Regions from separate parts of the Mus musculus genome. Here all the other regions are reported to be linked to region 1. Evidence: microRNA targets listed by miRTarBase, many of them from high-throughput screens and not tested one by one. Region 1 holds a microRNA gene; each other region holds the end of a gene's coding sequence.

Region 1 (7,123 bases):
TGTTAGCTGTGATCGCTCCAGTGTTGTACAGCTCTCTAGGCCTCATGCATAGTGTAACTGAACCATGTCCTGTGACAGTTACTTCTCCAACCTCCAGCACCTGCAGAGTGCCAACCTCCTCTCTGTTTATATGTGCTTGACTCTGTTAGCTTCCTCATGTGAGTGGTGTCTGGTCTTTATTCTGTTGTATCATTTCACACGCCTTCCAAATTTACCCATGGTGTCCTAAGCTGCCCTTCTTTAAGAGAGAGCGGCCTCGTTCATCCATCAGGCACTCGTAGGTTGCTTCCGTGTCTTGAGTACGGCGTGTTATGCTGCAGTGAGTGGAAGTGCACCTGGATGCTGGGATCTGGGTCTCAGCTCCTTTGGCTGTGTACCCAGAGCTGATGCTGGTGCTCATGTGATAGCTCTGTGGTCCTTGTTGAGGAACCGTAGGCTGCTCTTGTAGTGCTTATGCCAGTTTGCATTCCTACCAATAGTGTATAAGGATTTCCTGTTCCCCACATGCTTGCCAGTACTATATATATATATATATATATATATATATATATATATATATATATATATATATATATATAAATAAAAATAGCTCCGAGTCTTCCTAAAACTTCCCTTGAAATTTTGATTTGATTTCCCTGTTTAGTACTAGTATTAAATACCTTTTAGTATAACCACAGAGCATTTTTCAGTCTGACAAAAATTTTCCTTTGCATTGTTTGAGTCCTTCATATATTTTAGGTATTAACACTCAGACATACGGTATTTAGGTATGCTCTACACGCCTAAGATTACTGTTTCTTTTTGTTCTTCCCTGGCTGTGCAGAGGCTTTCTAATTTGCTGTAGTATCCCTATCAGTCAGTTTGTACGACCTCTTTTAACCTGATATGCTATGTTTTGAAACAGTTACACTGGCAGGTATAAAGACCTTGTTGGGTTTTTTTCAACATTTTTGCACACATACATTATGCTAAAATAATTTTGAAATATTGCTTATCTCTCATAAATTTATAAAATAATTTCTGAAGTATTATTACAAATAGCAAAGAGTATGATTCTGGCACATAATATTTTAATTAATTAAATAATTAATTCATGTACTTGATTTGGCCCTTTGAGACAGGATCTCAGTGTGTGCTCCTGTCTGGCCTGGAACTCATTACATAACTTCAGGTGGATACAGTTTGGTCTCTGCCTCCTTAGTGATGTGTTTCTTAGTGGTTCCTTATAAATAGTATTTTAGGGTGAAACTTGTACACAATTCCATTGAACATTGTCCTAGTTTGCTCTCTGTTGTGATAAAAACACTGACCAGAAACAACGTGAGAAGGAAACCCAAGTCTACACTACAATTCCAAATCTCGTAGCTAATGCCTGCTATCTGAGACGTGTGATCTGAGCTCCGATAGCCTCAGGTCTCCAGCTTTCTCATCTACAGCACACAGCTTGTTTGTCCCCTAGGCTCAGGCCGACTCCCCTTTACACCTCTTACTGTCCTTGTCCCACAAAACTAAGGATGTCCCTTCATCATAAAAGGCAGGATTTTAGTGAAGTGGCTGTCTTCTCTGTAGAAAGTAGTCTCTAAAAGCTGTAGTTCCACAGCAACCTGCTGTCAGTCCCGGCTTCCGTTCACAGACCTCATCAAAGTCCACGTAGTAATTTCATTCTCTGTGAGGTTTCCAGTTATGAAAGTACTAGGAGGTATTTCGTTAGTACAATATTGGTAGATTTTTCACATTTTTAACTTCTTGTGAGTTTTATTTCTAGTACAATAATTTCTAGAATATTCTATATCCTTGTTACATTTCAATATTGCCCTCACTAAGTTCACCTATATTTAATTACTTGATTAAATTTAAAAAAATAATTGTGTAAGTCTAATATGACTGTGTGCTCATAGTTCCATCATACAGTTGAGCAAAAAGAACTCTGAGTTGCAAACATTTGGATCAGGAATTGAAGAGATGTTTTAAAATAATCTAACTAATTCTCTACAGATGGCCCATCCTTCAAAGCAACGGCAGGACCCAGCAGACAGATTTTACAAGGTATGACAAGCAGTTGTGGCTTTCTTAATTTCATGAAGCTGGCTTCATGGTAAAGTTGCCTGGAGTTCTCTTTTAAGGAAATATCTGTAGATGGTAACAGTATTGTAAGTGTTATCCTTCCTAATAAATGCGTGCGCGCACATACACTCACTCACACATGCACACTTATACTTTGTGTTAGGTATATTAGCGATATTTTGCCACTTGTCTATTTTCTCAGATTTAATTTTAAAAATACAAGAAATTGACAACCCCGGCTGAAGGTAAGTACTGGCCTGACTATCGTGAGTCCAAGGTAGCGTGTTCGCTTCCCTGGATTATTACAGTCATGAGTTCAGGGTAGCCTGTCTGCTTCCCTGGATTATTACAGTCGTGAGTTCAGGGTAGCCTGTCTGCTTCCTTAGATTATGACAGTTTTTCCAAGAGTAACGTTCAATATGTTCTTAAATTGTAGAGCTAAGAATGAAGTCCAGTGAGACCTTTCTCATCTGTGAAAGCATCAATTACTGATACCTAAACAGGAGCTTAGTGTTCCGTAAGTGACAGCAGCTAGAGAAAACTCTGTCTCTGAACTCTGGTACTTTCCTCTGGGTTATAACCCAGTCTTTCACAGTTTCCCCTAGACTGTATTGTCAAAGCTTTTAAGTTCTAACCTCCCTGCTCCTAGCTTTTTAAAGCCGACGTTGGTCTGGTTTTCTCAGTGGCTCCAGATCTAGCCTCTCCTGCATGTGTTTTGTTCTACTGCTTCTGGGTTGAGTTCTTGCTTCTTGTGTTTCTCCATTACTGAAGAGATCACTATACTGAAGGCTTAGGCTGCCTTCTGTCACCAGGTTTCCATTTTCAAAATATATGGCATTGCTTTTAAAAGCGTCTTTGTACATTTTTGACATAGCCGTATGAAGTGCTATCATTGGCTTTGATAATAATTTGTATTTAGTTATGAAAAATCATCATAAATGGCAGGAAGAAAAGCTCGATGTACCCTTTTATTCCTATTTCTGAACTACATGAGTTTGTTGGTCTCAAGAGGGCCTGGAGGAAGCTGCTGGGCAGCTGTGACTGCCTGATGTAAAAGCTCTGCTACCCAAGAGCTCTTCGGACACTCAGCACATGAGCCCCTCCAGCTAATGTGGCTTTCAGTTGTTGGCGCATCTTCAGCTTAGTGAGCCAGGTTTTAGATACGTTAGACCATTGGTGTGTTGCAATGTTGGAGGGTCTCGATCTTATGTGACTTAAACAGACTTTATGTATTTCCTCAGAGATTTTTCTTCATGAATAGTTACTATAAAAGAGTAATGATGTGTGCTAATGAGACCCACTTTCTGGTTAGGATTACATGGAGGCAGGGACTTTCCAGCATCAGAAAAATGAATAACAGATTATTTTCACCATTTTTTTTTCATTTTTATTTCTGTTCGTACCAAAACACTAATTGGAGAATATAGAAACTTAAAACTATGTTATTACATTTAGGAGTTTGTAATGTAGGGATTTCAATTGTATTGATTTATATCCATCTTTTTCATTTTTTTTTAGTTTTTGAAACCAAAGTGTTTTTGATACATATATATGTATATATATATATTATTCTTTGGTATTTAAAGTACAATAGAGAAGTTGGTTATTTACAAGTATTTACCAGTGGAAATACACATTTCATTTTTATCTGCCCAAATGAATACCATTTGTTACAGAACAACTCAGGGCTGGTGAGGTACCTGTATAAGGACACATGCAGCCAAACCTGACAGCCTGGGTTCAGTCTTCAGGCTCCACGTGGTAGAAGGAGTAAGCCAATGCCCTCTGCACATGTGCTGTGGGATGCACATACATTTACACACACATCCACACACAAATGTAAAGATCTGCAGAGTGGTCTGCACAGAGTGAAAGGCCCGAGTGCCCTTTGCTGCGCCCTGCTCTAAGTCACACGGTGGCAGGGGAAGTGTCTTTTCCCAGCAAACGTTAAGATTTACTGTGACTCAGTAGTGCTCAAATTTTAAGCTGCTACAAAGTTTCCTTCAGTTTTAATTGGCACACATTTACCTTTGATCGTTCAGGGAATGTGACGTGAATTTCTAAGCTGGTCGCATGTCTGCCATCTTAACCAGTGCCCTGCAGGGCAGCTGTGCTGAAGGCCGGTGGTTTATGGCTTTTCTTTGTTTTTGTTTTTATTGGTACCTATGTTTATAGATTGCTTTGCTGTGTGATAAATTTTATTTATTAAAGATCTACATATTGAGTGAGTTACTGTCTTAGGTAGTTTCAAAAAGAGTTGCATATATAATTTCTTTCTTGAGATTTTTATGGTTTTCCAGGCCAATATCACTTATGAATCTTAATAGTCCTATATAGTCCTTAATAGTCTACTATGTCCTACTTAGTACTTAATTTCAAAGGTTCAACATGTATTTTCTTGTCCTAGTCAGGTAACTGCTTTTTTGCTTGGTGTATTTGAGGATAATAACAAATTTAGGTAGTGGCATGTTTTGGATAATTAATGTCAGGTTAAGTCGAGTTAGGGTTCATATAAAATTTTATTCCTTAAGCAGTATTTTAAATCACCAGCAGAGGGCTCTATGTGTTCATGTATTCAAAATTAAATTGCTTTCTTCATCTTTTTTTTTTAAAACCTGATGCTCTTTTCTTTCCAGAACAAATTATTTAACCTTTTTTAAAGTAAGAGTGAATGTTCACAGACAGCATTTAAAACTAATTTTCTCTACTCCTTCACTTTCTTTTTCTTTTTTTTTAACTCCTTCACTTTCACTGTTCTGTTAAGATTGAGCATAATTTACCAGTTAGATGTTTAAACTGGTCAGTATGAAAACAGTTATGTCAGTTTATAAATATTCTGCTACACAGTTACTACTGTACTTCTCCTGACTGATTTTTTTTCCTTGATATGTAAGATATTTTAAGTATAGTCCTGAGAAATATTCCCACTTGAGTATTCTAATCTCTCCTATGCTTTCTTTCTAGGTGTATTTTTACACATTCTAGCCGATACACTGGGAAGTATTGGTGTAATTGCCTCTGCCATCATGATGCAAAATTTTGGGTTGATGATAGCAGATCCTATCTGTTCGATTCTTATAGCCATTCTTATAGTTGTAAGGTAAGTGGTTCAGACTGCTACCATCTGTTACTAAGTGAGAGGGAGGTGACAACAGAACCAGTGGCTGGGCACCTTCAGTGCAGATTATCATGTGGGGTTCCCTTTGCTCTTTAAAACAAGTCCTATCCAAGTTCTCCTTATAGCTTTTCCCATTTATATCTTGCCTGGAGTTTTAACATTTCTTTTTGATTTTTGACATTTAAGTAGTTGATCATAATTCAAATCTTAAACCATACACTGTATGTATAGAATAAAATCTTGGCAATGTAAAGTCATTAACTAGACGATTTTAGTTTATATCTAGAACTGACAATGTCAAACCCTGGTATCAGTGTTGCCCCTGCCAGACCCATCTTTAATTCTGCCATTTCATTGGTCTTTTCGCTTGCTCACCAGCCACGGAGCTGGTGGTCTATGAAGACTGTAGGGAGGTCCATCTGCAACGACCACTTGCTGCAGTGCATTGTGTAGTTAATATTATCTTCTAAAATCCTTTGTCCTAAAACACACTTTATTGTTGGCTTCATTTTTATTTTAAAACACTAGAATTATATTCCTTTATCTTGCTGCATTTGATCATTTTAAATTTTGCATAGTGTGTCTCAGTTGGAGCATTATCATCTCTCTGTAGCTGTCCTGTCAGCAGCAGCAGCAGCTTTTGTAGGGAGATGAACGCTGGTGAGAAGTAAGACCGCAGACTTCATAACTCAGTGTTGACGAGGATTGATGGAATAGATTGCCATGGGATTGCAGTGTTAAAGTTAGAGGTGGTTGTTTTTCAGTTTCTGCCCTAAGAATAGACATACATTTTAAACATGCAGATTATTCTTTAAATATTGGCACAGGGATCCAGCTGGTGTTTGGAAGCCTTTCTAGAGCTCAGAATTCCTTTCCCTCATCTGGAGGTCTTACCACACTCCCGGGAATTAGCTTGGATGTGACCACTTCCTGACAGACTTGCTCACTTCTGTGACTACCTGTCTTGCCGTGGGTGTTTCGAGGGCACTCTGTTGTGTTGTATATTATAGTGTTAGTTGCCCCTAATGGTTATTTAAGAGTATGATCGTAGTATTTCCCTTGCTCTTTCTCCACTCATTGTTACCAGAATTCTGACCACCGCCATTGTTTGGTGTGATGACCACTTTGTCCCCTCTTGTCATGCTGCAGTGACATTTCTTTGATGCGGATTATGTGATATACTGCAATTATCTTATCCTTTTCTCACTCTTTCTCTCAGAATAAAATTCATAATCCTTAATGAGACTTCCTGATATTGTTTAATTTTGTTAATCCCCCTCCCTCCATCTCTCCTGCCCCACCTCCAATCTCTGTCTTCTCTAGTGAGTCTTTTCTTTTCAGTTTCCTAACTATGGCAATAAGCCCTCCACATTCCTGTTCTTGTCTCCTCTCTCAACTCTTCCTGCATTTAATGATGCACCTTTCCCCTCAGCTCTCTAGATGTGTGTACCCCAAGTCCACATCCTTCCTATGAAGTATCCCCCTTCGGGGAACATTTCCTGATTTGCCCTCCACACTGTGTGGAGTTTCCCTGGAGCACCTTCTACCAAAGCCCCCTTCCAAAGCATTTAGCCCTCTGTCCCGAGTCTGCTTATGTTTCTCTAGAGCTCTGTGGGGCAAATTGGTGTCCTGCTATGATAAAGTGACCATAGGGTCCTCCCAGCAAAGGAACTGGCACACTTCAGATTGGAGGTGGAAAAACTTAGGCTTTTTCACCCTAAAGAGTTATAGATTTTCTATTTCCAACTTGAATTGTTTTCCTTGTTATCTTCTTACTCATTTCTTATACAAACAAAAAATAAATAATAGATAAATTCATGCGCACACAATGAATTTATCTTGCCACAATGTCTAATACATTTTTTAAAAATTATATACCATCTTCCACAAGTAGCTTCTTTTGGCTCTAAGATCCCTACTATTTTGATTTTATCTTACCAT
Region 2 (7,123 bases), not on the chromosome of region 1:
CCAGGCTCTGGCCCTCCTCCCAGCTCTCCTCTGTCCAGCCTTCTTGGCAGATGTGCTGCTAACCCGCCACTGCCCTTGCCCCTGACTGTCTTCCAGGACACCTTGCCCGCAACTGACTCTGCGCTCATCTTACACCGCAAGGGGTTTGACTGTGGCCTTGAAGCCAAGAACCTGGGCTTCAACTGTACCACAAGCCAAGGCAAGGTGAGTGGGGTCCCGGTGTGGGAGGCACGGGCCCTGGTCAGGACAGCAGAGCTCTAGGCTGAGAGCCTAGAGGAAGGCTGGCAGTCAGTAGGAAGAAAGGAGGAGTAGCCTCGGGGCTCTCTGGAGACTAAGGGGAGGCCTTTGGCCTGTGCTTTTGGTAATGGAGTCGGCAGGAGCCATTTCAGACCAGCATGGGGCTAGAAACCTCGGGTTTCCTGAGGACAGACCTTTTCAGAGTGAAGTGGGAAACCTGAGAATGAAAAACCACTGCACCTTTTCAGAGCATCGCTCATGGTGTAAACTGGCACGTTGCTTGCCCTGGTGACTCAGCCGTGAACCCAAACAGCCCCTGTTCTCAGCTCACACAGCGTGGTGTGAGAGTTCCTACGAGGAGCCTGGGCAAGCTTTGGACTTGAGTGGATTGCAGCAGTGCCCTCTCTGAGGCTCGCTGCTCCTGGGAGGGCTGTGGCTTCCAGCAGCCCGTTTCCCTCTTACTTTATTTATTTATTTATTTCTCTATCTTATTTTTATTCTTTATTTTTGAGACAAGGTCACACATAACCTAGGCTCGATACAACCTTACTGTGTAGTCGAAGCTGAGTTGAACCCCTGAACTGCCTGCCTCTACCTCCCAAGAGCTAGAGTCCTGTTACACCATTTTAGCTCTAAGAATCTGACAGAAATCCAGGTGTGTTGGCTCACAACACAGTCCCAGCACTGTGGCAGGACTGCTCTGAGTCTGAGGCTAGCCTGGATTACAGTGTGAGACCCTGTCTCAAAAAATCCCAAAAGGGCTGGGCAAGGTGGCGCACACCTTTAATCCCAGCACTTGGGAGGCAGAGGCAGGTGCATTTCTGAGTTCGAGGCCAGCCTGGTCTACAAAGTGAGTTCCAGGACAGCCAGGGCTATACAGAGAAACCCTGTCTCAAAAAAAAAAAAAAAAAAAAAAAAAAAAAGAAAAAGAAAAGAAAAGAAAAAAAAAGGAAAAAACCCAAAAGGGCAGCACTCCGTGTAAGGAAGAACTTACCCACTGTTAGCAGCGCCCGGCTCACCCTGCCCCCTTTCTCTTCACAGCTAGCCCTGGGGAGCCTCTTCCATGGCCTGGATGTGACCTTCCTGCAGCCAACCTCCTTGACTTTGCTATACCCTCTGGCCTCACCTTCCAACAGCACTGACATCTCTCTGGAGCCCATGGAGATCAGCACCTTCCGCCTGCGCTTGGGCTAGGCCAGGGCTTCTTGTGGCCTGAAGACAGGGTTCATCCACAGAGACTGCCTCCTAACACCAAGACTAAGCTGGACAAGCCACACCAAGTCTCCCCTCCGCTCTGCCTCAGAAGTGACAGACTGTGCTGTGCCCTTCCGTTGTCTATTGCTGCTCCTGCGTTTGGAACAGTCCTTACATCAGCAGGCGGCGGGGGCAGAGAGACAGGGGAGAGGAGGCCCTTGCCCTAGGCTGTGAGTAGGTACCCAGCTGGGCACAACTCAGGCTTCATCCTTTTCCCAAAATGGGATGTAGGAAGAGTGGGGACAAGCAGAAGAGGTCAGGGAGGCTGGGGGACAACCTCACGCTAGGAGACTGCAGGTATGAGCTTGCTCTGCGGGGTCATATGGACCCCACAGTGCTGGTATGAGGGTACAGGAGCAGGGTGATTCTGGGAGGAGAGGGGTAGGCGCCCATTATTAGTGGAGTAAAGGCGTGGAAGGAGTCCCTGGTTCTCCTAAGAGCCTAAAGGCTTTGCTGCTTTCTGCTCTGGCTCTGTTCTGAGTGCCACTGGGCCTGCTCTGAGTGCCACTGGGCCTGCATGCCCTGGCTAGGGGCTGCTGGGTGCAGGAAGGGCTTGCTTCAGACTCCAGGCCAGAGGCCACGGAACACTTCAGGCACTAGCACTAGTTCTCAGCTGATCATTTGGTGTTGATCTGTGACAGGGGTAGGGAGTGTCTCCCCCTGATCTGCTTTCTTATCTCACACACCAGGCTCCCCACGAGTTCCCATTGTGGGGATCCTGGCAGGATTCCTTTCTCTAAAATGGAAACAGAGTTTCCAAGAGGGCTGTGCTTGGGTGTCTTGGGAAGGCATCCTGTGCTGGGGCCCCTGGTGGGCTGAGGAGGTTCACTCGTATCCCACCTGCAGAAGTATTACCTGCCCGCTGTGTGGACGAGGAAGGCAGAGACAAAATTAGGAGGTCATGTGCTTGGATGAACCTTCGTTTTTGCTTCAATCAATAGAGAATCTGTCTATAAATGATAAGAGTTGGTAAAAGCAAAGTTCCATCCTTACGAAAACTTAGTAAGCCAAGACTAGAAAGAAGCCCGTAATCTGGATAAAGATCTCGTCACCAGTAAGCGAAGGCGCCCAAAGCATCGGACAGAGCAGGCTCTGATCCCCTCAGTCAGAAACTGCCCGGCGGCACAGTGTGTTGGTGTCACTAACCCACACTTCAGATGGAAACAAGAATTACAATTGCCACTGTTTTAAAACCATAAGCTACCTAAGAAACCTGTGTGTCAACTAGCAAGGCATTCTGTGAGTTGCCCTGTAACGACTGGTTCTCCCCAAATCAACCCATAAACATCAGTGTAATTCCCACGAGGTTGGACACTTTCTGGAACTCTTCAGGTCCTGGCATTCATCTGGAAGGTGACAGGCTGAGGATGTGAAGTAGTTCTGAATGGCCGAGGTGATGAACGGCTGCTGACACTAAGGCGGGCAACAGGCAGTAGCTGTCTTAACAGAGTTCTCAAACGACTTGGACTCTTCTGCCAGCGTGAATTCAGCTGCCATGATAGGTCAGGTCAGACAGACCTAGGCACGTAGAAATTCAGTATATGATTTCAGGTGCAGGGGAGGGGAGGTGGATATTTTCATAGTGCTTTGAGACAGCTACCTACCTATGAGACTTCTGTTTCAAAAACAAAACAAAACAACCTAGGGCTAGAGGGAAAAAAGCAAAAGCAAACAACAAAATTGTTATTATTATTATTATTATTAATTATTATTTTAGTCTCACTATGTACCTCTGGCTGTGCTGGAACTCATTATGTAAACCAAGCTGGCCTGGAAATCACAGAGATTCCCCACCTGCCTCTGCCTCCTGAGTTCTGGGACTAAAGGCATGCGCCATCATCACACCTGGGAGGAAAAAAATTTTTTTGTTTTTTTGAGACAGGGTTTCTCTGTGTAGCTCTGGCTGTCCTGGAACTCACTCTGTAGACCAGGCTGGCCTTGAACTCAGAAATCCACCTGCCTCTGCCTTCCTAGTGCTGGGATTAAAGGCGTGCACCACCACTGCCCAGCAGAAAAAAATATTTTTATACCTGATTTAGGAAACCCTTTTCTAGACATAACATGAAACCTAATATATAATGGGGGAACATTAAAAAATAGGTTTTGACACACACACACACACACACACACACACACACACACACACACACACACACACACACACAAAGCTTGAAAGCATGCTATAGGAAACAGGTTAAATCAATACAGCTGTGTGGGTGGAAACGAGTCTGCAGTGAGTTCTGTCACTGCTGGAGAAAAGTGTGTTTTGACTTCTCAGAGAACGTCACTAGGGTCTGTCCAGCAGCACCCAAAGACTCAGTAGTGACAAGGCTGAGTTCTTGCAGGGTCTCCATGGTTTATGTTGCCAGGCTCAGGCCACACGGCTTCCTATTCATGTCTTGGTGACAGGAATGAGATGAAGAGTGGGGAGCGCTTAGCACAGAGCAGGGGTTGCGCCTACAGCAAGACTTATTTGCTACCATATGGTTTGTAATCAAATGATAGGGAACTGTGCAGAATAAAGAATATTCTTTGGAGGTCAGAGATGTGCAGTGAAGTTACTTGTCTGACAGGACAAATTTTAATCACAAACACACACTTGGGAGTGTCTTGCAATGTATCCCTGACTAACCCAGACTTGCCATAGAGAGCCAGGCTGGCCTTAAACTTGTAATCTTCCTGCCTCTGCTGCCCACAGGCTAGGCTCACAGGCATGCACACCATGCCCTCCCTGCTGCTGTTTACATACATAAATAGTACTTAGAGCAGTGTCCTTTCAAAAGTTCGTCAGCAGAGTTGCCTCTGGAAAGATAGGCAGGCCTGTTTCTTCAGTCTGGGTGCTAAGGTGATGTGTGGCAGAGGGCCACATGTAACTGGATCAAGGAAAAAAGCCAACTCTTGGTAAAGCCTCTGAACTAATCCTTGGGAGAATAAGGGCCAAAGCCAAAGCATTTCCTTCTCCCCTCCCCTCCCCTCCCCTCCCTTTCCCCCAGGCAGGTAGCACAAGCTAGCCTCCAATTTTTACTGCATTTCCTGCCTTAGCCCCTCAAGTGCTGGGATTACAAGTGCATGCCTCCGTGCCTGGCTCATACGGTTCTTGGTAATGGCACAGTGAGTGCGTACTGTTTTAAGGTAAGCAGCAGCTGTTGTCCACAGAGCTCAGGGATGGATGCCTCCCCAGTAAGGCTAACAGTCTACAGTGGAACCAAGATACAACAAAACAACCTCATTCACCAGAAAGAGAAGGACTCCCTCACTGAGACGCATCCAGTTCCATAAGGAGGAGAGGATTGAGTGGCCAGCTGGAGGCACAGAGAGAAAGGCGGGCAAATGTGAGGAACTTCACCATCTTGCAGGGCGTCAGGCCCAGACAGGGTCCGGATCTACCTTCCCCAGGGCATGAAGAGGAGTAGGAATTCCTGGGCAGACAGCATTTCTAACCCGAGCTGGAAGAGTTTAGCTTGCTGTCATGGTGGTTAGGGAGCCAGACACTTCCAGTCCAGCTACTCTGGAGACAGGGGAGGAGTCTGTTGAGCCCAGGAGTTTAGAGCCAGCTCAAGCAACACTGAGACTCCATCTCAAACAAGCAAAAAGCCACTAGCTGTCACAAACACAAAGAGGAAAACATAAACTATGTAGTGGAGGGGTGAGGCTTACAGTTCAACTAGAGGTCTCTGAATTTGTTCTTAACAAAAATGTACGGAAAGTTCAAGTCTCACACTGTGAGAGATGACAGAGACGGGATCTTCCGACATTAGGATGGAACTAGTTTTGTTTAGGTCCAATGGGAAGAAAGTTCAAACAGTTGCCGGGAGCAGCTGGGTCTTTGTACTGCCCTGATTAATTAGGATAGTCTGCTCACAGGCTCCTTATATTTTTGGTTGTGAGCCTAGCCTCTAACGGCTGAGTCATCTCTCCAGCCCCAAGAAGGGCTTCTTAACTGTGATACAGTTGAAGATGAGAGATGGTAGCCAGTGAGACAGTCCCTTAGAGAATGAAACCCGGGAGTGTCTATGTGAACATTGAATGCTTTAGTTTGAGTATGTGTGTCCCTCTGTAGTGCAATGAAATCAGGGGAACCTGTGGGAGGTGACTGGGCCTTGCAGGCTTCTCTCTAGTGGGGGAGGGGGAAACCATTATAAAACAAGGAAAGAGGAAACCATTTACTTCACCCTAGGGAAGGAAGGCTCTCTGCCTAACTCAGGGAAGTTTGCTTCAGGCAGAGGTGGTTCTGTCCACCTGAGTCTGACCCAACCAGACACGGGGCAAAGTTCTTACGCATCTTCTTCATGCAGACTTGCTCTGTAGATCAGCATGAGAAGAAACACCCTGACTCCAGTTCTCAGAAATATGTTGCAAAAGATGGAGGACCATGTCCATAAAGGAAAAGTTGACGTCTGAAGGTATGGTCCAAAGCAATGAGGCTCACTGTGCCCTGGAGATGAATTATGTCCCTCCCAAAAGGGCTATGGAGGAAAGCCGAAAACCCTAAAACTCCTAAAGACCCCATCTGTCTCCTGCCTGTTTGCTCTGAATATCACTCAAAGGCCAAAACTGACCCAGGCATGTCTATTAGAGACACTGCAGGGTGGGGGCAGGGTGAGGATGTCGAAACAGCCAAAGATAACCACGTGAGCAGAAAGCAGCTAGACTCAAAAAGCGTGAAAAGATTGCTGTACACCATGCCAAGGGCAAAAATGAAGCAGGAAGGACCAGCCTTGAGAGACCAACAGGCATAAAAAATAATGAGCCAGAAGAGGGTGGAGGATGGCTGCCCTGTCGTGTGGTGTGTGTGTGTGTGTATAGTGTGTGCATGTGTTCAGGTGTTTTTCTAGGAATGGGAAATTCAAGTGCAGCTTAACATTAGCTTCAGTGTAAAAACTAGATTTTTGTATAGCCAATGAGATTTAAGAAGCCTTCTGGAGAGCCTTGGTATGGTTGTGCTTTATTGCAGAGGCAGGAGTATTGTAGAATGGCTGTGGGGGCCCTATGCCCCTCCAGCAAACAAAAACAGACCAAAAAAAGGGGCTCTGAAGGTGAGGTGAGACGGCAGAGTGGGTAAAGGCACCAGCCCGCCAAGCCTGACAAACTTGAGTTGGATATCTCAGACCTACATGATAGAGGGCGAAATCCAACTCCCCGAAAATTCTCTGCCACACCCACACTGTAGGACTTCCGCTCTTCCGGATACCCGGAAGCTCTTGTGACTTAGCCAGCAATTTTTAAGGGTCCAGGGATCGGCTATGAATCATTGAGCAATCACTGCAGTTGGTGTTGGAGCACTAAGGTCTTCCAGGCTTCCTCATGTTACTGGGATTTCTGTCTTTGCCAGTCAGTTGCCAGAAAGTGGTGGCATTCCTTCCCAGTATATCTGCCATCCCACAACTGCATCATCTGACCTTCGTAAGGACATAGTCCAGCCCACTTGATAAGGACGCCAGGCTCCAAGGGTTGATGCTTTTAACCCAAAGGACATGGGAAATGACTATTTAGCATGTGGGTCCTCTTCGGGAGACCAGAGAAGGAAGAACAGCAATTTAAGCCTTTACCTAAGTGCTTTATTTTCCACGACTAAACCACGGACGCTTATTCCAATCTTAGGTCCCTGAGGGGCCAGAGGTCTCACCATGCA
Region 3 (7,123 bases), not on the chromosome of region 1:
ATCTTAACTTTTAGAGAGAAATCCAAAGGATTTTATTATGTCTATTATTATTAAAGCACTTCACTCGCATCTGATATGTTCCTTAAAATGTTACCATTTTATGTCCTAGATTAACCAACGTTCCATGTAGGGGAATGTAGCAAACACCATGCAAAATAAGCCCCTTTTAAATGATTGCTTTAGAATGCCAACATTTCTTGGTTCATCCATCAGCTGCCTGACATGCTTTCAGGAGGGATTTTCAGCTGCTCTGTTTCCAAAAGTGTGCAGGTAAGTGGGATGGGCAAGCAGGACCAGAGATCCTTTCAGATACTTAGCATGGCTAATACTGCTAAACGTATGAATGTTTTTGTGGTTCCTGCAGAGAGCTGGATATTGAATTTAGGACATTTTTTTTCCTCATTAGAATCATCCTTGATTCTAATCACTTCCCCCTTTCTCTCTCAGTTTCCTCCACTGAGATGTCCAATTGTGCTGCATCTGCTCCTCAGTTCAAACCAGATTTGTATTCACCCCATAGAATACCAGGATCCCCCTCCAAGGTCCATGTCATCCTATAGATATTATTCTGTCTTGTCTACTGATGTGACTTCACTGGACATACCTGTGTTCTGTTTGATAACATATCTCTTCTCTCTCTCTCTCCCTCCCTCCCTCCCCCCCCTCTCTCTCTCTCTCTTTCTCTCTCTGTTTCTGTTTGGAGGTCAACCCCGGGAACTCTCTAATTTTGGCCTTTATTACAGTTTAGCTGCATTTCATTTATTTTATGTGTGGCTTGGTAGGCCCAGGTGTGACACACTACAAATGTGGAGGGATGAGAATAACTTGTGGAAGTTGGATATTTCCTCCCACATGGTGTGTTCTAGAGTTGAATTCGGGTCACCAGGCTTGTCAACACACACTTTTCTATGCTGAGCTAGCTCACTCTCCCTAGTCACCTTTACACTTGGAATCAAGGCAATGAATCTATCTGGTGTTAATTCATTTGTGTTTCTAGGACTGGCTATCCCCTGAATTCCAAGTTTTCTCCTGTCTCTATCTCCTAGCCTTGAGTTTACATATATGGGTCACCATACTCTATTTTTATGTGGGAGGCAAGAATCCAAATTATGACCCTCATGCTGACACAGCAGGCACTTTGCCGAATAAGCTATTCACACAGCCCGCTATTTATACCTTATGATTATATGTCTGAATGCTGTCATCAAGATACATTAAAAAAAAAAAACCCAGCAAGCCTTTACTCAGTTTGAGCATTAGTCCTGAAGTATGCTCCTCCTGGGTATGGAGTGTTTCTACTCTGAGAACGTTATTCATATTGTGTTACCTCCTTGTTAGTCCCATTGGTGGCGCTTCAGTCTCACCTTCAACACTGACTCACGCCATTTCTCCACAACCCTGTACACTTTCTTCTTACATCGTGATTCTCTACTTTTTTTTCCCCATAGACTGTAGTAGAGATAAGCTCTCAATTTTTAAAAAAAAATTTCTTAAATTATGTTTAAAAATATTTGGAAATTTTATTTTTGCTAAACTGATATTTGTCTATGAGATAAGGGGGGTCAATATTTTATCCAAATTAACATAAAAATAGCTCAGAACCATTTTACATAAATGGCCATTATGCAGTTAAATGACGTAGCATCTGACATAGTATTTACTCTCTCTGTGTGTATCAGCTGTCCGGGTTTGACTTCTCTTTTTGTCAGCTTTTGTGTCCATTCCACGTTCTCTCTCTAGACTTGAAGGAAGCCTGTAAATTATTAACATTTGTTTGCTTGAATCAAATAGTCATCTTTAACCCTGCTGTCTCCCCAGTCAAGAACATGCCAATTTCTCATTTCTTATAATCTCCCAATTAGACTTTTATACTTTCTATCACTATGCAGCAATATCAAAGTCCAGGACACCATTTGCTTTTATCAGGAACACTATAACTGACTTAGAAGAATTCTCTGCACAACCTAGTTGCTAAGCCACACACTGCAACTAGATTGGGAGTTTTATGAAACTTGAATCTGAGTGTGCTAGCTGCTTAAAAAGTGTCCATTTACTATCTGGCTCCACCAGGGGAATTTTGTCTGTTTTGCTTGTATGTATCAATCTGTGTTCAGTGTGTTAACTGGGAAATTACAAGAAACAAGAATCAAAATGTCACTTTTACAGTTCATAAATACTGTATTTTCTATTGCCGTGTAAGAATTTCTCCAAATATAAGACATTGCACAATTGAATAGTTGGTCATTGACATATCCAGAAATCATATATATCACACAAAATAAGCGCTTTACCTCATGCAAGTAATTATTGTTCAGGATGAACACTGTTGATCTTTCTGGGTTGTTATTTTTTTTAAAAAAAAAGCAACATATAAAAAGGCTCAGGAACAAATGGTCCATGATCGTGCTGTTCGGCACGCATTTCTGAGTGGCTTTTAGGCTGGTAGGTCTAGTAGAGAACAGTAGGGTCAAGGCCTCTGGGAGCCCTGACCTACAGTTGATGTAAATAAGATGTTTTGGGGTATCTGCTAGAATTCATTTCCTCAAACTTTGATCTTAAATCATTGGCTACGACACACTGTTTGAAGGTAGGGGACTTGGACGGTAGTTAGAATGAAACAACTGCATGATGACAGTTGTGGTTCAATGAGAGACAAGAGGTAACACTTGCCAATTCACTGATGCTGCAGCAGGAGGTGGAAACTCAGATAGCACAAAGTCATTGGTGACCTCATCAGAGCAGGAGAACCTGGAATGGTTTGAAGAGTATCATCTACTTTGACGTTTGGGGAAAGACATTTCAAATGGAAGGGATAATATGAACTGAACCCAGCTCAGTGAGATTCCCATCATGCCCATGACATATGGAATATTATGCAGCACGGCTACCAGGATACAAGCAATACTACGTCCTTCCCTGATTGACTAGATTACATAGGGAAAAGCACAAAAACTAAAACCAAAGACATCCAAGAGGACACTGGCCCCAGTTCAGGAGACAAGTCTTTAAGACAAGCCTTTGGCAGTGTTATAAACATGAGTGTGGGACTAAGAAGGGAACTGTGAACACTTCACAAGGCATTTTTAACATTCCCAATTATCTTCAAATTGAACAGTATGAATATGTAATCTACTAATTTCAACGAAATCATTAAGTGGATATTACATGCTCTGAATAATGGATCTGCATTGTGCTTCTTGTAGCCAAACTTGTCTTGGATGTGAGACAACGTTCAAAGTATCCACATTGCATATACTACCTACCTGTTAGTCATAACTGCCAATGTAAACCAATATAGGAAAGACAGTTATGTACTGATAAAATAATTGACCAAGACATAAATATATAATTTATTGAAATACACTCCAATAAAACAGTGAGTGAGTTTCTATACAGAGTAAATCATGCCAGTCACAAAAGCAGGTGGAAGTTATTCTATTGCAGGCAAAGGAGAAATTACTTGGTCCTTTCATTGTGGGACTTCTGGGTTGGCCCATATCTGAAGGAACAGGTGAATTTCTTGGTACCTTGCTAAAGAGAAAGTTTTAACATATAACACAAGTCATGTTTTAAAGACTGGCCTTTTGTGTAAAGTGTGTAAATTATTAGGGGTTACGCTCCAGATGTTTGTGTAAGGAATCTTGGGTCACTAGGGAACCAGGCCCCAAACACTCGTTTGTAGAGGCTGGACTGTAGAGGTGTGACAATTTTGCCTTCATTTGGCTCTTTTTTCCTTTAGAGTGGCCACCAGCTATCACATTTATGGCTGTGGTGTTTTAGTAACATGCATTTTACTCAATACTTTTTTCAAAGCATACAAATTGTCATGCTGGCATATCTGGACATGCCAAAGGACTGCTTTCTATAACTGTAAATTGTGATAATTCTCAGAAAGAGAAAAGTCTTGCAGAAGTTGCTAAAATTGTGGGTTAGAACAAATCTTCCTTTCATATATCAAACAGTGGAAGAAGGAAAAAGAAATTCATGCTAGTTCTGGCCCCATGCATACAAGGAGAGAAGTTCTGCCCACAGCACCATGACAGGTGCTTCTTTAAGGTGGAATAAGGTATTAGATTATACTATTTGTCACTCTCTGAGATCCTGGGCTAAGACAAGGCATGTAAGGATGAGACCTGTGCAACTATAATGACAGTACAAATCTTAGCATTTCACTTCCAACAAATACTCATTTTCTTATATGCAATGTTGATTTCATCAACTACCAATTGTCTTCAGTTAAAGAGTGTTGAAAAAGTTGGCCCTGTCTTGCTCTCAAATACCAGCTGGCATTTGTGTCCTGAATGTAATGCTGTGAGTTCTATTGGGGCTATGGAGGAAAGAAGTCTCACTAATGATACCTTCCTGTTGGGAAAATTATTTCATTTAGAAATTCTAAAGGAAAAGAACAGCCATGAAGGATGGGTCCCACATTTAAATAAATAAGGGGTTATTTGGCTCCCAAAAGTTTCCATTCCAATGGCTGATCATATCTCACATGACGGCTTATAGATGTCTGCCTTGGGTCATTACTAAATGACAGACTATGATAAACTGGATGACAGGAACAAGACAATGAGGTATTGTTTACACAGAAGATTGAGTAACTGGTTAGACAAAGAGGTTCTCGGGTATCTATTGTATGTACAACTAACAGATTTACTGGGGCTTTTAGAATCTCGTCAAGGCTCCTTTCCAGCCAGCTTCATTAACTTGAAGTAAATCAAATCGTGCAGAAATCGGGCTATGCCACAGAGAAATCAGGAAGAAGAATATGAAGTAAAACAGACATGAGATGACAAAGTTCAGAATCTTTGGCATTTTTTTTCATAAAACATTTTGTTTGATTATTAAATTACAATGCAGAAACAGAACAGGAGCTAAACACAGTAAACTAGGTTTCCTACCTCAGCTTTTCTTTACAATACATACACAAACCTGCACACAGCAAGTATGCTGATGAAATATAGATTTTTAAAGCTTAAATATCATTTTAATACAAAGATATTTGTACACTTTTTTACGTGCACATAATTCATTGTTTTAAACTTGGCAGGGTGTGCTGTGGAGTTGTAGGGTACTCAGGATTCAAACACTATCTACAGAGGACTTTTTTGTAGTTGTTTGGTATCAACAGGAATTTTGAAATAAGCTTCTATTGTCTTATATCTTATTTTGTCCCTTAGAAAAATAAAAGGCAAATTAGGATAGCAAAAACATTTTAAATATCTGATCAGAACATCGGGCAACTGAAATGAGTATATTCCATTCAGAGTCTCAGTTAAGTAAGCCCCCCCCCACATATCTTGATATCCCTAAATGCTTTCAGAACCCACTAATTCATCTGCCCCAATCTCCACCATCGCTCTGAGGATGCATATCAACATCTCATTGTAGTAATAAGCAAAAAGTGAAGTTGGAAGAAATGGCATATTCCAGAAACATAATACTATCACAAAAACCCTTATTCTTCCAATGGGTGATTCTAATGAGTGACTCCTTGGAACCGTCAAGGATGGCCCTTGCCAACAACAACTGAGATTTGATTTGAACTGGCATCTAATACTAAAGGGTCACCAAAAAACAAAATAAATAAACAGGCATGTCTTTAGTAATCAGAGCTGAAAGACTCCTAAATATTTGAGTTAATTCTGAAAAATCACTAAACATTTTCTAATATACATTATCAGGGCAGATAGAGGGAAAAAGGAACATTAAACACATAGGGGGATGGAGACTGGAAATAACTGAACCTCTGTTGATTGTTGGTTTTAGGACAGTTTGTACTATATGTTTAGAGGCCAACATAGCACAGTTTCTGAGCTGGCCTTGAGCTTGAACTGTCCTGCCTTGGCCTCTTCCCTGTTAGGATTATATGTGTGAACCACCAGCCTCAACTGGAAAGAACTGATTCTTAGTGGAAAATCTGTCGAAGGTATTGAAATAAGTTCCGCATCATCCTGGAATCAAGTGGTCTTCTGGCTGTCCTCGAGGATGGTGTTCAGACATGTGGACACCTTGTTTTATGTCCTAAAAATGGATATGAAGCTCCCACAGTCTCAGACTTGATGTCTTTTGATGGTTTGGTTGTCCAGGAATCCAGGATACCCGTGCACAGGGACCTGTGTGCAGGTGTGCTTGCATCTGGGTATGTAAAGAAAGCAGAGAGGGAGTAGAAGGTTGCACACAACATCCATATCTCAGGACACCTTGGTACCACTAGAGCAGCCAGGATCTAGGTCTGATTGGCTGCACACTGGATGCTGGAGGCCTCAGTCTGTGTGAACTCTAGACAGTACTCCTCTTCTTCCGAAGTGGGCTGTGGCTGCCACAGAGCTTCAGCTCTGCATACTGCACCTGTGAAAACAAACAGACATGATGCTGGCAGTTGGGTAACCCTAGCTTACCACAGAGTGTGTTAATGGCTCCCCAAGGATACAGCAAAGCAAAGGAAGGAAGGTTCAAAGGTAATGAATCATTTTCTAAACATGGGGCCTGGGGGGGGAGGGATTAATTGCAGGAAGGGTTTCAGAAGTCATGCATCATTTCTTGAAACCAAAAATATTAAAAGCAGATTTTTCTAATGAGATGAATGGGCTTCTATAGGCTTCTCCAGAGCTTGCCACTGCTGCCTGATCTTAGTCTTGCTTATACCAGCTTTCAGCTGTAAATAACCCAGTAACTGCCTATTGGACTTGTTGATCTTATGTTATGACAGAACAAACAAACAAGTATTGCTCATTTCAAAGGACCTACAATGATAAGGGGGAAACTCAGTTATCTTACAGACATTTATTCTAAGAGGGGGCCAAATATTGAAATTGATTCTAGGCCCCAAACTTATATAGATGTCACTTAAAATTAATTTAACTTATAGTGTAATAACGAGAACATCTGTGATAAACAGGAGTACTTGTGATGTCCTCAGAGGCAAACTGTCAGTGTCATTAGAAAGCACCCTTGACGGGATAGGGAGACTAGTGCTAAAGCATGGATGAAACTCATTCAAATGTTTTGTCATATGTATCTCTCTGCGATTATGCCAAATATACCTGGATGATACATTCCAAGGCTGGTACCAGAACCATAGAGCTATGGGACTGACAACAATTTCTATTCCCAGATG
Region 4 (7,123 bases), not on the chromosome of region 1:
TCATGGTTTGGGGTTGGGTCACATCCCTAAATCGGTGTTATCTGGGTCTCCTCGGGGATCCTTGATAAGACATAGACCCATTATCCCAGTAAGGCATCCTTGGCCTGTCAAAAGTTGCTGGCTGAATATCGTGTTTTGAGGGGACTGAGCTAAAGGGAGAGAGGGAAAGAATCAAGGAATCCATGGCCCTAGAGATGGATGGGAAAGTAGCAAGAATGAATACCTTTTCCTAGAGGTCATCTCCAGGTTTGCCCCTCATCCCTACCACGCCTTCCCATGATGCCTCACTCCAATCAACATCCTGCTCCAGCATCACTTCAAACATGTTCCCAGTGCATGTAGCACCTGTGGCCTCACTCAGGGACCTCCATGACTATGGCATCAGGACCAAGGGGACACTGCTTCAGCCATGCCAATCACTATGTGTTTCTCAGGCATAAGAATATGTGACTTTCCAGAGATTGAGATGGCCTCTTGCAGCCCAGATGAAGCTAGAAATGCTGGAAGTTGGTCAATCTCCCTAGGACACAGAAGCCTGAGAGCTCTTTGCAAATTAGGACTGAATTTCTCTGTACTGTGGGTGATGAACACAATAACATGAATCAATGACATCAGCTGGAGCATGTAATATCTCAAGATGCCCAGGTTCATTCCCCTAACTAGGCTGCCTTGTCTGGCTCCAGTGGAAGAGGATGTGCCTAGCCCTGCAGGGACTTGATATGTCAAGTGGTGGTATACCCAGGGGGTGCTCTACCCTCTCAGAGGAGAAGGGGAAGGTGGAATCATGGGAGGGACTGTGTGATGGGGAGACAGGTGGGAGGCGGTGATAGGGATGTAAAGTGAATAAATAGATGGGGGGAAAAAGATGCCCAGGTTCCAAAAGAGGGGTTATTCTCCATGCCTCCTTTACCTGATAAGTCAGTATTTTCTGGGTTTGGCGCTCATTCCAATGACATGTCACAATCTCTGTAAATTTCCTTTTGTGGAGCAGAAAATCTTGAGTCCTTTCGTGGACTCAATATTTCATTCAAATACATCATCCCCAATAACTGATCTTTTACTTCAGCTTATCTAAGAGAACAGAAAATCCTCAGAAAACTTGGATATATGCAGTGCATATTTGTTGAATTATAGACAGGAAACTGTTTCTGTAGAGTATACGTTTAATGAGAACATACTGTTATATTTGGGCTATGTGGTATTCTTGCTGAATAGAAACCTTTACAAGAACACGCGCACATTTCTATCCAAACACCAAATGAAGTAGATTGCTTAAATGACCAATTTTGCACCAGAAAAAAAAAATATATATATATATATATATATATTATACAAAACAGGGCTTTATCCACAGTCATGAGTCCTCACTTTCTACACAGAACAACAATAAATTAAATCACATTATATGCAGACAGTTCTACTTACATTAGAATAGGAAGCTATATGTAGCTGGTGCAGCTTTGACTCTTCTACCAGATTCATGGTACGTTTTTATTGTTTTGTGGTCATATTTAAATTATCCATGAACAAAATGGCTCAAAAGACACAGGCTGAGGGACTGGCCTTCTGCCATGCTTAGCTCACAGCCCCTTGGTTTCAGCAATGCCCAGGGAAGAAGGCTCCGATTTTGGCCAATTGAGAGCACTTCCTTGCTGTCTTCTATGCTACACCATATTGAACACGTTCAGACACAGGCACTGAGTAATGAATGAGATAGTCCATCAAAAGCCATGGTTTCCTCTTTCTCTGGAGAAATAACTCTTTCTCTCCCCAATAATAAGTAGAGACTATGACAGCTTTATTCTAGAAAGTAAAAATGAACTCGGTATCCTATTATGATTCACACTTGGGGAAATGGACCTCCTGGTCCTGTGCATATAAATTTATGCCTTTAAATATGAATCAAAGAAATGGAACATGTTTTATTAACTCTGAGGTCTACTTGGTTCAAATCTCTCCACTAGGAATCGTATGATACCTGATAGACCAAAGAGTTTTTGTAACATATTTATTTTTACCTCTGAGAGTCAGCTCCCACTGAAATCCTTTTGATTACCTTTGAAGTGACTTAAAACAGAAACACCAGCATCAGCATTTGGGAAATGCTCTGCATTTGGGATGAATTAACATTAGTGGTTAATGCGATATTTGAACAACCTCCAACTCAGTGTCCTTTGGAGGAGTATTTTCATTCCATAGGCCTGCAGGAAACATCGGAAAAATCCATATGCTGAGAAAAAAGCCAGGTTCCTTCGCGTACATGAAAATCACAGATGTAAACTGTCCAAGGACATGCATGGTCAAGTTGCTGTCAGGCTTCTGAGTAGAAGCCAGCTACCTCCTCACAGCGGTGCGATTTTGTCTTTTTTCTCTGAGTAAATGAGGAGGCCTCCTCACAAGTTTCCACCTGCATGGGAAAGGTGCTAGCACACCCATAGAAATGTGATGGATAGCAGGTGGAGCTCTATGAAGAACAGTTGAGCCCGTGTCAGCTGCAAACTTCTTCTCTCTGTCACTTTGAGAGACATAAGCTCCTGGTTCTTCTCTCTGGGCATGTCCAGCACTTCTTGTGGAGACTGGCTTTTGAAGAAGGTCTAAACTGTTCATTATTCTGTTCTAAAGACCAACTGAAAAATAGACAGATCCCTCCAGTGCCTCTGGCTCGTTCTCCCTACTTCTATGCTGCCCCTAAAGCATCCTGTATTTCTAGACAGTTTCTGTTTTTTCCACTAAAGGAAAAATTCAGCTCATTACCAGCCTTCTTCTAAAGACCTGTAGGGTATAACTACACAAATAGGTAGTGGGCCAAAGTTCAATTGGCATTTGCCTTTGTAGTTGCACCTATTAGGGATCTGAGCTCTTTGTGTCTCAACAAACACAGACCCTAGTGTTTTCCAATTTATAAATGCTATTCTTTCATTCTCTTTTTTCGTGTGTGTGTGTGTGTGTGTGTGTGTGTGTGTGTGCGCGCGCGCACTTGTGACGCATCTAAAACACCTGCACGAGTAGCTCTGTTTCAAGAAAGCAATGGCATCACTAGAAACAGCTTCTGAAACCACTCTCTGAGATACACAAGGCCTCCCTTTCCACGTCCCACTGCATGTCTTAGACCCTGACAATCAGTCCCAACTAGAAGAAAAGAGGTAAGTTAGGGACACAGAAGGTAGATGTGCCAGGAGCAAAGGCACAGGATGCCTGTAAGCAAGGGGAAGTGACTTGGCATTCCAAAGCTTTTCATTCAAGAGAAAAAGGAAGTGGGGGTGGGGCATCTGTTCTCATTCCATAGGATTCTCCCTCTCCTCCATGAATTCTGAAATGTAAACAACTATTTCAAGACATGTGGAATTCTGTCTGTGGTTCAGGAAAAGACACGCCAATGGCTCTTCAAAACAATACATGTTGACGGATTCCGTGTGAAACCTCTGTTTGTGTTGGGAACAGATATGACTCTACCCAGAAAGTTTTGTTTCTGAGTTCAGCTTCTCTCCCAGATCTAAGACAATAATATTGGCTATAAAACTTGTGTTTATTTCCATCACCATAAGTATACGCTTAGTTTAGCTTGTGTATGAACTTATATTTGACAAGATATAAAAAACACTAATGAAATGCCCCCCCTTTGAAACCTTGATCATTGGACTTAAGAGTAAAAATTTATAGAATGGCTTAAGAACTAAAGTTCCATTTTGTTAATTATATAATAGATGACTACTGGCAGATTATGAATGACTAATTGTCAAAGTTGTTGCTTAGCAGTTAAGAATTTAAGTTCTACAATACAATACCAAGAGTTTTTAACCCAGAGCCACCATGGAACAGACATCTATACTGTCAGCAAAGGTTTCCCAACTTGGTGGTGTTTTTAAAACTTAATGACATTTTGGCTACTCATATAATGATTTATTTTTTTCTGAGACAAGGTCTAACTGTGTAACTACAGCTGATCTGAAACTCACTATGGAGACCATCCTGGCCCTAAACTCACTGATATCCTCCTGCTTCTGCCTCCCAAGTGCTGGAATTGAAGACATGGGCCACCTTGTCTAGCCATGTAAAGACATTCAAGAAAGACAAACTATACAGCAGGCATGTAAATGAGCAATCAACCTTAATAATATTAATAATAATATAATAATATAATAAGAATTGCTTTAAAATTGTAGGAAATGACTCCAGGGACTTCACGATTCACCCTGCCTATTTATTTTTTAAACATCTAATCTATTCTTTAACATCTAATCTGGGGATCCACTATTAACCTTGGAACAATTCCTCTAGCTGGAGCAGAAATAAAAAATACTGTTGTAACTATGCTGACATTCAAGGGGAAACTATACAAATTCAAGAAAGGATTAGACATATTCATACCCAAAGAATATAGCCAGGTAGAGAACTTTTCCCACTGTCACCCTCCTGCAATTAACACACAGGTTCAAAAAAAAAAAACATTAAAAAATGAGTATCTCTGAAACACAGGGAAAACATCATTGAAAATGTAAGAGAGAAACAAGCAGCCCTCTGGTTCTGAGAACTGGGGTGGATGCAGTCTGCCCATCTGTCTTCATTATGTGAGTCCCTGACCATCAGCTGCAGCCTTCCTGAGTTGTGCTCCACAAACGCGCCTCCTGGATTAGCATTTTAAAGTTTGCCTTTCTGGCCTACTTTTTTTTTTTAAGTCAGCACTTTTCCCTCAATATCCCACAGGCAGAACCACGACATACCTCCTACCACACCCCCTTCAGTTGTTCAGAAGCTAATTCATTTTATCATGCGGTTTGCATCCCGTTTCCTGAGCCCCACACAGGTGCAGCCCATTCACTTTGACTCCACTGAGAGAATGAGGTGTGGTCCACTCCTTCCCTGGGAAGCCAGCTTCCAGAGCTTGCTAAGCTTGCTTGGACTCCTCCACAGTTAACCTGGATGGATAGGACCTCCAAGAAATTATTTAATTTCCCCCCTTTAAGCTGGGTTTCAGATGCTCAGAATGTTACCAAGAAAGGCAAAATTACAAGACGGTACCCTTGTTCTCTCCTCAAATGATAAAGTCGGAACCAGAATTGAAACCTCTGCACCCAGGATTGAGTGCAAAGAGGATACCCAGCAAAGGCTGGCTCAGTCTTAGCCACGATGCCCTTGTCTGTCCTAGCTCACTGTCCAAGCTATGCATCATTTGTGGTGGCTGCAAAACTCTATAAGGTTAAAGGGACACAGCAGATATCAACATTCCCTTTTTAAATTAAAATCATCACCTCAAATTTTGATAAATTGCATGCAGTTTTTTTTTAAACGTATCACCACTGTGTCTTGCTGTCAAATTCTCACTGTCTGCTTATTCTTGAGGGAAAGGGGTTGTGTTTCTTTATAGACTCCACTTAAGTCTACTGGTTTTGAAGGGCATCATTTGACCATAGTTAGAAAGAATGTAGCCCTCCAATAACATCCATTTAAAACAGTTGAAAATGAACAACGGCTTAACATCAACGTATTCCTTCAGAGTTTGTAAGCTGAACAGACTTCTGTACATCTTCAGCCAGACTAGCAGTTAGACTAGAGACAGCCAAGGGACAGAGGACAGCAGAGAAAACGAGAACCGTTCCTCCCTCTCCACAGATTTGTCACACACCTCCTCCGTGCTCTTAAAATATAAGTGAAATTTAATCTTCAAAATGAAAAAATAGACACATTTCTAATACCAAAATATAAGATTAAAATACTTAAAAATAAAATGTTAGTGTGAAGTAGGACTTTTTTTACATCGTATAAGAAGCATTTTAGACTCAATTTTCTTATATAAATCCTCCTTGCTCACTAATATTTACAGTTTTCCAGAGTAGCTCTGATGAGACACTAAAAGAGACAGGGAGGATCCTTTCTTGAGATATGAATTCAGACCTGAATGTGGACGTTGGACGCAGCCTTCATCAACCACAAACCTGTCCCCCAGTTCCAGAGAGAGGGGCACTGCATTCCCAGCCTGGAGATTTCTTTCATTCCATTGTCCTCTTATTGGGTGTTAAATTCTTTCCAAGAATATTCTCCTTGTAAAAATTGTTTTATCCTAGCTACGAAACATTTCATTTCAGAAAAGCCACATTTTTCTATCCTCGTGTGAACTGCCCCCAAAGCAATCAAGATATGGACGCAGCAGACTTTCAAGACATAAATCTCCTCTGATGCCCCTCCAGCAGCCAGAACACTTAACAGCATTGCGTTGTTTCATTATATTAGTTTGCCATGAGATGAGAGGCCAGAAGGCAGATAGTGATTAACAATCATTCCTGAGCTTCTAAAGAAAATGTAAAATGAAATGACTACTGCTTAAAAGAATGACTTCTCCGAGAACGCCCTTTCTGCTCCGTTGATGTCTGTCCTTCCATCTATCTCTTTAAGGAATCTCAAGTAGACGAAGCGAGAGGGGCATCTCTTTTAAGCCACCGAAAAATGTGATCTGATGGAATCTTCTCGCAGCTCTCGATGCTTCCCGATGTTGCTTTCCTCTTGCTGATTTCGCCTCTCAATGGTTATTCTGTATTTCTTCCTGGGTAAAAGCAAAACAAATGTAATAATAAAACCTCACTCGGCTGTAAAACACCATGGTTCCTCTTACAAAGAGTGCCCTCCAGGGACATCTGGGTTAGGTTTGATAAATGACAAGTGACACAAATATGAAACCCTGTTCTGAGATTAAAGTCGTGTACCCCCAAGGCATCGTGTCCTTATTCAGGGAGAAAAATTGGCATGCTTTCTGAAATGCCACAGAACAAGCCTTCCCCTTCTTCCCTGGGAGTCTTATCTATTCTGCCCCAGAAGCTCTGCTTGACTCCCAGGATGTGCCCCCAGATAAAGATCAGACCAAATGTACTGTGACCAAAGGAACAGGAACACGATTGTTCCCACAAAGAGCCACATACACCCAGACTTACATCTCCAATGCAAAAGTGAAGAAATATTACAAATAAACCATGATGATTTACAATGCCCCATGAATTCAACCACTGAAGATTACCAAAGGACGGGCCACTGTCGCTGCAGCAAACGACTAGAACCTTGAACACATGCGCATAATTAAAAGTTTATGAGATTTAAGCCACAACAATGGCAGCTAAACATGTGACTTCTCCAA

What was found. Region 1 holds the annotated microRNA mmu-miR-669n (AUUUGUGUGUGGAUGUGUGU, at 3,884-3,903, opposite strand). A microRNA usually pairs through its seed, bases 2 to 8, with sites in the 3' UTR of a target mRNA and lowers its output. Matches are read on the target gene's strand: a 7mer-m8 pairs with bases 2 to 8, a 7mer-A1 pairs with bases 2 to 7 and ends in A, and an 8mer does both.
Region 2: the mRNA of Man2a2 is a reported target of mmu-miR-669n. Seed matches in the 3' UTR shown: 7mer-m8 at 3,652-3,658.
Region 3: the mRNA of Mctp2 is a reported target of mmu-miR-669n. Seed matches in the 3' UTR shown: 7mer-m8 at 4,290-4,296, 7mer-m8 at 3,627-3,633 and 8mer at 3,583-3,590.
Region 4: the mRNA of Npr3 is a reported target of mmu-miR-669n. Seed matches in the 3' UTR shown: 7mer-m8 at 3,426-3,432, 7mer-m8 at 2,861-2,867 and 7mer-A1 at 1,498-1,504.

The regions. Positions count from the first base shown.
Region 1 is chr3:115,976,685-115,983,807 of GRCm38, reverse strand. It overlaps Mir669n (microRNA 669n), which reads right to left and starts at 3,906; the gene lies at 3,853-3,906. It overlaps Slc30a7 (solute carrier family 30 (zinc transporter), member 7), which reads left to right. Exons shown (of 11, transcript NM_023214.7): 7 at 1,996-2,046; 8 at 5,029-5,164.
Region 2 is chr7:80,346,007-80,353,129 of GRCm38, reverse strand. Man2a2 (mannosidase 2, alpha 2) reads left to right here. Exons shown (of 24, transcript NM_172903.4): 23 at 97-204; 24 at 1,279-4,033. The coding sequence ends at 1,431. Hddc3 (HD domain containing 3) reads right to left here. Exons shown (of 4, transcript NM_026812.2): 4 at 7,033-7,123. It also overlaps the pseudogene Gm18310. Among named protein-coding and RNA genes, the nearest start is that of Hddc3, 6.4 kb to the right of the region's middle.
Region 3 is chr7:72,074,504-72,081,626 of GRCm38, forward strand. Mctp2 (multiple C2 domains, transmembrane 2) reads right to left here. Exons shown (of 23, transcript NM_001024703.1): 23 at 3,327-6,354. The coding sequence ends at 6,286. Among named protein-coding and RNA genes, the nearest start is that of Gm36696, 33 kb to the right of the region's middle.
Region 4 is chr15:11,838,751-11,845,873 of GRCm38, forward strand. Npr3 (natriuretic peptide receptor 3) reads right to left here. Exons shown (of 8, transcript NM_008728.2): 8 at 1,146-6,538. The coding sequence ends at 6,427. Among named protein-coding and RNA genes, the nearest start is that of Npr3, 63 kb to the right of the region's middle.